Macaca fascicularis: one gene and its partner. The protein of the gene in region 1 interacts with the protein of each later gene in a biochemical or structural test. Links are inferred from orthologs where the notes say so. Each region holds a gene or a part of one and is shown in the gene's direction. Other genes may lie near its edges. The genes, in order: GADD45A and EEF1A1.

Evidence for each region.
Region 2: the proteins of GADD45A (region 1) and EEF1A1 form a complex in vitro, tested with the Homo sapiens proteins (2 studies listed by BioGRID). The link is inferred for Macaca fascicularis from reciprocal best matches to the Homo sapiens genes GADD45A and EEF1A1.

The regions. Positions count from the first base shown.
Region 1 is NC_088375.1:166,989,753-166,993,988, reverse strand, and holds the start of GADD45A (growth arrest and DNA damage-inducible protein GADD45 alpha), read left to right. Parts: upstream 1-1,348; 5' UTR 1,349-1,646; coding exon 1,647-1,690; intron 1,691-2,176; coding exon 2,177-2,278; intron 2,279-2,516; coding exon 2,517-2,754; intron 2,755-3,831; coding exon 3,832-3,945; 3' UTR 3,946-4,236. UniProt on the Homo sapiens protein: In T-cells, functions as a regulator of p38 MAPKs by inhibiting p88 phosphorylation and activity.
Region 2 is NC_088378.1:101,521,089-101,525,497, forward strand, and holds the start of EEF1A1 (elongation factor 1-alpha 1), read left to right. Parts: upstream 1-1,404; 5' UTR 1,405-1,813; intron 1,814-4,242; exon of another isoform or gene 4,243-4,277; intron 4,278-4,409. UniProt on the Homo sapiens protein: Translation elongation factor that catalyzes the GTP-dependent binding of aminoacyl-tRNA (aa-tRNA) to the A-site of ribosomes during the elongation phase of protein synthesis.

The DNA.
Region 1 (4,236 bases):
AGGTGACCTTTGCAAAAAATTACTTCTGTGACCTTTGGCTGTACAGCAACCTTAATAATGCAAGCACTGTTTTGAATGCAAGCATGTGGGAGCCGTTTTCACCACTTTTGGTGACTTCAGTAGGTTTAAGAAATGTTTTTGCATTTATTGCATAAACCATAAAACAAAGGAAGGGACTTTTGAACTACTCAGTGAGAGTCTATATATTAAAGTTTGTTTTTCAAAATGTGTAACTACCATTTGCAGTTTTAAAGGTCTGCTTTCCACCTGCAAGTTGCCATTATCTCAAAGGTGAAATTTTAGCATATGACTAAAAACTTCCTATAGTTACGGCTTCATGATTCAGCATCTAACATCAATAATTCACAGTGAGATCACACAGGAGGCTCTCTGTGGAAGGTAGTGACATACATACGTTAGGAAAGGAAGCTTAGGGCATATCAAGAGCATTTTGAATTTAGACTTGTGGGCTGTGTGGGTGTCAGATGGTTGTCTCTCGACTGGTGGGCGTCCAGAAGGATCCTTGTTTGGGCAAGGCTCTTTGAGAAAGGAGAATCTGGGTTGCCAGGGATTCCCACATGTGGTCACCAGCTCCCCACGCAGACCAGCTCACGATTTCCCAGTTACAGCGGGCAGGTGGGAAACCGTTCTGCATTCTGTGGAAAAGACTCCAACTTGGTTCCCTGCCATCCCTGAATACAAACGGGTTGGTTTTTCTTTTTTGAGCTTCCAACCCTTGCAGCTTTCCAAAAATAAATCAAACCAGCCATCAGGGCACCGAAATAATACTACTGCTAATAAGCAGCTTCGCCTAGACTTAGATAAACAACACTTCTGAGGTAAACTTTGCCCCAGAGGTCTGGAGACACTTTTTTAATGTAAACTGCTTACTAATAATTACTAGACTTAGGTGCATTAACCCTGGAAATAGATTTTAATAGCCACCCCTTAAAACAAAAGGCATGAAACGATAATAAGAAAAAAGTGCCGCGACTATTATAAAAAAACACTTGGCAGCCTGCTTCAGCCCAAGCTAAGGCTACCTCCCGCCTCTGCTGAAGCCCTCCACTCCCAGTGGTCCCCGCCAACCGGATAAGAGAGCGCGCGGGACCCGCCTTCCTCTCTCTGCACCGCCCCCGTCCCCGCCCCCGCCCCCGCCCCCTCGGCTCGCCTCCCGCGTGGCTCCTCCCTTTTCCGCTCCTCTCAACCTGACTCCAGGAGCTAGGGTCAAATTGCCGGAGCAGGCTGATTTGCATAGCCCAATGGCCAAGATGCATGCAAATGAGGCGGAAGGTGGTTGGCTGAGGGTTGGCAGGATAACGCCGACGAGCGGGGCCCTTTGTCCTCCAGTGGCTGGTAAGCAGTGGCTGCGAGGCAGCTGCCCAATTAGTGTCGTGAGGCCGGTGGCGAGGCGAGGGCCGGAGAGCGAGCGAACGAGCAAGCGGGGCGGGAGGGGTGGCCGAAGCTGCGGCGGCTGGCACAGGAGGAGGAGCCCGGGCGGGCGTGGGGCAGCCGGACAGCGCCGGGGCCTGAGCTCCCGGCGCGGCGCCTGTGAGTGAGTGCAGAAAGCAGGCGCTGGCGCGCTCGCCGTGGCAGGAGCAGCCCGCACGCCGCGCTCTCTCCGTGGGCGACCTGCAGTTTGCAATATGACTTTGGAGGAATTCTCGGCTGGAGAGCAGAAGACCGAAAGGTAAATCGGCCTGCGGACTCTTCCGGCCCGAACTTCTCTCACCTACCCCGCGCTCCCGGGTGCAGGCGGGCTGTGGAAGGTTTGCAGGGGAGGAAGCAGAAAAGTTTGCACAGGGCAACTCCCGCCCTTGCTCCCTCGGGACTCTCCGTGTAGCGTCCGCGGACTGAAAGAGCATGCCCCGCAACCCGAACGAGCCCCGCCGGGGCCTTTGCAAAGGGCAGCAGTGGCCGTCGCTGCCCTTGCGGCTCCTGGGGCTAGCAGCCTGTGGCAGGGGCACTCTCGGGACTTCTCATGGGACGCCCGGTCCTTGGGCGTGCAGGGGTCATGGGGGGTGACGGGGCCGCGGGAGCGCCGGGTTTTCGGAGAGCCCAGGTGCGCGGTGGTGCTTGCATTCGAGAGGGAGGGGCGTGGTGCCGGGCAATGGGGGCGGCGATGGGCCCGAGGGCACCGGGGCTGACGGGACCCCTCGCCCTTGCCCGCGTGTAGGATGGATAAGGTGGGGGATGCCCTGGAGGAAGTGCTCAGCAAAGCCCTGAGTCAGCGCACGATCACTGTCGGGGTGTACGAAGCGGCCAAACTGCTCAACGTGTAAGTGGGGCCCTTGCGCGTCTCCCGTGGCACCCCTTCCCGCCCTAGCCCGGGAGGTCGCCTTGGCTGGGCGCCCCTCGCCCGGCCGCGCCACTTCCTGTCGCTTTTCTTCTGCCCCCGCGGCTGCCTGTCCCGGAGGGGAGGGGGCGAGCTGGCCGGGCGGCGACCCCCGGAGACCCAGGCAGGGGTTGAGGGCGTCCGCGGTTCTGCGCTCACTGGCCCCGCCCGCTGCCCCCAGCGACCCCGATAACGTGGTGTTGTGCCTGCTGGCGGCGGACGAGGACGACGACCGAGATGTGGCTCTGCAGATCCACTTCACCCTGATCCAGGCGTTCTGCTGCGAGAACGACATCAACATCCTGCGCGTCAGCAACCCGGGCCGGCTGGCGGAGCTCCTGCTCTTGGAGACCGACGCTGGCCCCGCGGCGACCGAGGGCGCCGAGCAGCCCCCGGACCTGCACTGCGTGCTGGTGACGGTAAGGGGCAGGGGGACTGCAGCCTGCGGGGTAGAGCCCCGGAAGGACGGGAGTCAGGGCTGGGTCGCCTGATTGTGGATCTGGGGTAGGTTTGGGTCAGGAGGGTGCTGCCTTTGCCCCACGAGAGTGTGGCTGGACTTTCAGCCGAGATGTACTAGTTTCATCATCAGGATAATCTGTGGTACAGAACATGTCTAAGCATGCTGGGGACTGCCAGCAGCGGAAGAGATCCCTGTGAGTCAGCAGTCAGCCCAGCTACTCCCTACCTACATCTGCATTGCCTCCCGTGACTAATTCCTTTAGCAGGGCAGATTAGATAAAGCCAAATGAATTCCTGGCTCACCCCTCATTAAGGAGTCAGCTTCATTCTCTGCCAGTCAGAGCTAAAAATAGAAATTGTGTAGGAGACAAACCTTGTTAATTCCCTAGAAATACATTAAGAGGATAGAGTGGAATTTTTTTCTCTGCAATCTTGCATTTTTTTAATGGGCCTTTTTTTTTTTTTTACTCTTCTGATAAAAACCTTTGGTAGGTAGGGAAGTTATGTTTTCAGGGATAAGTGTGCTACTTTTGTCTTCTAAATTTTGCTTTTTGACTGGTCTAGTCAAGTGACAGCCGGATTATTTTGCTACTCCTTAAAAGTACTACTCTGTCTCTTGGGAGTAGAGTTGATGGCAATTCCAGTTAACTGCTGTGCAGCTCTCATCTCATTGTGCACACAGCATGGAAATCTTTCTCAAAACTGTTTCACTCAGGTCAGGGTAACAAGTTTGGTAGAGCAAACCCGTGAATGATACTCTCATGCAAAACTGAACAGATATGCAAACATATGTATGTGGTTCAGCTTGGGTTGCATGGGTTCAGACTTTGCAGTGTGTAGTTTAATAGGTAATTACCCTTAACGATTTTGCACGGAACCCAACTACTTTGAAGAAACTTTAATTTTTTGTGCTTCTAATTTGTCTCCATGTCACGTAGCCAAAATATAGAATGTTCAAGTGTCTTCTCCTCAAAAGTGTAATACTAGCAAATATCGATTTTTTAAAAATAAGTTTATTTTTCTAAATTTGTTTCCAGAATCCACATTCATCTCAATGGAAGGATCCTGCCTTAAGTCAACTTATTTGTTTTTGCCGGGAAAGTCGCTACATGGATCAGTGGGTTCCGGTGATTAATCTCCCTGAACGGTGATGGCATCTGAATGAAAATAACTGAACCAAATTGCACTGAAGTTTTTGAAATACCTTTGTAGTTACTCAAGCAGTTACTCCCTACACTGATGCAAGGATTACAGAAACTGATGTCAAGGGGCTGAGTGAGTTCAACTACATGTTCTGGGGGCCCGGAGATAGATGACTTTGCAGATGGAAAGAGGTGAAAATGAAGAAGGAAGCTGTGTTGAAACAGAAAAATAAGTCAAAAGGAACAAAAATTACAAAGAACCATGCAGGAAGGAAAACTATGTATTAATTTAGAATGGTT
Region 2 (4,409 bases), on another chromosome or scaffold:
AGGTAAAATTTTTAAAAAGAATATATGTCTATATTTGCTTATTATGCATAAACTATCTGTTGCCCATTGCTGCTCCATCTATACCATGTGGGTGGTAGGATTACAATAAATATTGCAAATACTAGAACAGTGCCTGTCACACTAAAACACCATTTTATTTGGATTCTCAGTCCAAGTAGTTCCTTGGCTTAATCATATTCTAAAATACCCCTTTAAATATATATATATATATATATATATATATGTGTGTGTGTGTGTGTATACACACACATATATATATAGTGTTTTTCTGAGATGGAGTCTTACTTTGTTACCCAGGCTAGAGTGCAGTGGCACGATTTCTGCTCACTGCAACCTCCTCCTCCCAGGTTCAAGCGATTCTCCTGCCTCAGCCGCCCATGTAGCTGTGATTACAGGTGCACACCACCATGCCTGGTTAATTTTTGTATTTTTAGTAGAGACGGGAGTCTCACCATGTTAGCCAGCCTGGTCTCGAACTCTTACCTCAGGTGATCCACCTGCCTCAGCCTCCCAAAGTGCTGGGATTACAGGCGTGAGCCATCACACCTGGCTATCATCTTTTCTTCAGCGGTAGATACAGCAGATAAAAAGATTTAAAAATCATTTTCACGTGGCAAGCCATGGCAAAATGTAACTACTTAAGGCTGCTTTAAATTAGACTAATAGCAGAGTGATTAGACTATATTGAAAGCTCAGTGAATCACAATTATGTACCTCAAAGAAGGATTCTTGTTTGCCTTATTACTATGTAAATAACTGAAATAATTGTTTTTCTTCCTAAAAGGGGTCATGTAGATGTTTACTTACAATGTATTTTAAGTTTGTCACTCTAAATGGTTATGAGCAAGCGAGACCGTCCTGGCTAACACGGTGAAACCCCGTCTCTACTAAAAATACAAAAAATTAGCCGGGCGTGGTGGCGGGCGCCTGTAGTCCCAGCTACTCGGGAGGCTGAGGCAGGAGAATGGCGTGAACCCGGGAAGGGGAGCTTGCAGTGAGCCGAGATCGCGCCACTGCATTCCAGCCTGGGCGACAGAGCAAGACCCCATCTCCAAAAAAAAAAAAAAAAGGAAAAACCTTCAACAAATATCACCTTAGATTATAACCCCAAAACATATTTACGAGCCTCAACATCATTACTGTTACCGCTTTAACATTTAAGACAGTAAAAAGCATAATGGATCTCCCGTACGGTGCGGGGAATCCGTTATGATTATGTTGAAAACATAGGGTCTGGGGAAAAAGGGATTTAAAATAAGAAGGAAAAAAAAGACTTGAGACTTAAAAAGTTTTTTAGAGGCCAGCTCACGGTGACAAAAACCGACCCTCACCCCGAGCCACGTGAGGTTTTCTGCCTCCTCCCTGGCCTTTCCTTCCGCAGTCAGAAGGCGGAAGAAAAGCGACCTCAAGGTGGGGGGAGAGACAGGGCGGACCCTGGCGACCTGACGCTGGGGAGGCTCGAGTGGCGGATCCATACCGCTCAGCTGTTCGCCGCGGGACCCCGCCGGCCCGCAGGTGACCCAGCGCTGGAGAAACGCCAGCGATGTGGCCTGGCGAGCTGGCGCGGCGCAAGGACCACCCGCGCCCGCCTTGCCGCCCCAGCCTCCCTCCCTAGGAAGCCGGGCGCGCCGGGTGAGCGCGGGGCTTCCCCGGGACCGGCGTTCCAGTCCCTCTCCAGCTTCCGGCCCACCCCTGCCGGACTGAGAGCAGATATGTGATCTCTGCCCTGAGAAAATGCTCGTGGCCAGCGACTACCCCAACGCACAATAATACGGCTCCGATGGGCTCAAAGGTATTGGTTTTTTGTTTTGTTTTGAGACAAGGTCTCACTCCGTCACCCAGGATGGAGTGCAATTGCGTGATCTTGGCTCACTGCAACCTCCGCTTCCCGGGCTCAAGCGATTCTCCTGCCTCAGCCTCCCGAGCAGCTGGGATTACAGGCATGCGCCACCACGCCCGGCTAATTTTGTATTTTTAGTAGAGACAGGGTTTCACCATGTTGACCAGGCTGGTCTCGAACTCCTGGCCTCAAGTTATACGTCCGCCTTGGCCTCCCAAGGTGCTGGTATTATAGGCATTGAGCCACGGCGCCCGGTCCAGTGTTGGTTCTTAAACGCAAGAATTGAGATCTCCCTTCACCTAATGAAAGTCTCTATCGCAAGCCACTATCGCAATACTCAGAACACCCAGTCGGTGTTGCGCAATAGGTTACTAAGGTATAAATCAAGGATTCATGTAATTTTGCCATTCCTTGCGTGATATTTTAAAAAACATTCTCTGTAAGGTATTTATAAAGCGTTTACTATTATCCGCAATCACAGGGGCTTGAGGAAAAACTTTTGACTGTGGCTGGGCGCTGTGGCTCACGCCTGTAATCCCAGCACTATGGGAGACTGAGGCGGGTGGATCACTTGAGGTCAGCAGTTCGAGACCAGCCTGGCCAACATGGTGAAACTCCGTCTCTTCTAAAAATACAAAAATTTGTGGGGCGCGCTTGTAGCCCCAGCTACTCCGGAGACTGAGGCAGGAGAATAGCTTGAACCTGGGAGGCAGAACTTGCAGTGAGCCGAGATCGCGCCACTGCACCCCAGCCTGGGCAACAGAGTAGGACTCCATCCGGAAAAAAAAAAAAGGAAAAAAAAGTGGACTGTGAAAACCGAATGGACTAGGAAAACTTTATACTACAAAGATACAAAAACCAAGAAAGCACCATACGCGTTTGCCTTTAACTGCTTCCCAACTTGTTTTCCTCTTCCAATTTGATTGTGGGTTCCTCTCCAGAAGGAACTCCACAGTACTTAGCGTTGGCCACATAGTAGGTTCTCAAATACTTGTTAATAAATAAGTTTGTTCGAGAAGCTGGGCAGTAATATTCTACAGCTGGAAGAAGAAACATAATGATCTAGTAATTAGCTCATTAAAAATAAACGTTCTTCATTCCTCAGAGGAGCATTTCCCAAGGCCTGTCTTGATAGCCATCCAAAACGGCCAAGCTCATCCAATCTTGCCCTAGATTTATGCTAAAATGCAGTTACAATCTATAGGATGACAGAAAAAGAAAGCACTTATTTAAATATAATAGGCACTTATTTAAATAGGAGAAGCTGTGACTTCATAGCAAGTGTTGGGGTTAGGAAACTGGGTGGATAAACTTGCTGATGCTGTAGATCTTAGTCTCTACATGAGATCACGTGGAAAATCTGAATTTGAAAGCTTTTTAGCTTCCTTATGTTTGCAATCAAATGACTGTACACCTTTTAATTTAAAAAGTACCATGAGGCACACACACACTCGCAGGAACTTTTTGGCGTAACAAAACTAGAATTAGATCTAAAGCTAACTGTAGGACTGAGTCTATTCTAAACTGAAAGCCTGGACATCTGGAGTACCAGGGGGAGATGACGTGTTACGGGCTTTGATAAAAGCAGCTGGCTTTGAATGGAAGGAGCCAAGAGGCCAGCACAGGAGCGGATTCGTCGAGCTCACGGCCATCGAGCCGAACCTCTCGCAGGTCCGTGAGCCGTTAAGGAGTCCTCCAGTCCAGACCCTTCGCCCCAAGCCCCTCGGGGTCCCCGGGCCTGGTACTCCTTGCCACGCGGGAGGGGCGCGGAAGCCGGGGCGGAGGAGGAGCCAACCCGGGGCTGGGCTGAGACCGGCAGAAGACGACGCTCTAGGGATTTGTCACGGACTAGCGAGATAGCAAGGCTGAGGACAGGAGGCTGATTGGGGGGCGAAGGTACACCCTAATCTCAACACAACCTTTGGGGCTAAGCTAGCAATGGTAGAGGAAAGATTCTGGACGTCCCTTCCAGGCCGCCACCTCGTCGCCTCCCCCTCCCCCTCCTCTTCCCCCCCCGCCCCGGCCGGAGCTGAGAGTAATTCATACAAAAGGACTCGCCCCTGCCTTGGGGAATCCCAGGGACCGTCGTTAAACTCCCACTAACCTAGAACCCAGAGATCGCTGCGTTCCCGCCCCCTCACACGCCCGCTCTCGTCATCACCAAGGTGGAGAAGAGCATGCGTGAGGCTCCGGTGCCCGTCAGTGGGCAGAGCGCACATCGCCCACAGTCCCCGAGAAGTTGGGGGGAGGGGTCGGCAATTGAACCGGTGCCTAGAGAAGGTGGCGCGGGGTAAACTGGGAAAGTGATGTCGTGTACTGGCTCCGCCCTTTTCCCGAGGGTGGGGGAGAACCGTATATAAGTGCAGTAGTCGCTGTGAACGTTCTTTTTCGCAACGGGTTTGCCGCCAGAACACAGGTAAGTACTGTGTGTGGCTCCTGCGGGCCTGGCCTCTTTACGGGCTATGGCCCTCGCGTGCCTTTTATTACTTACACGCCCCTGGCCGCTGTACGTGATTCTTGATCCCGAGCTTCGGGTTGGAAGTGGGTG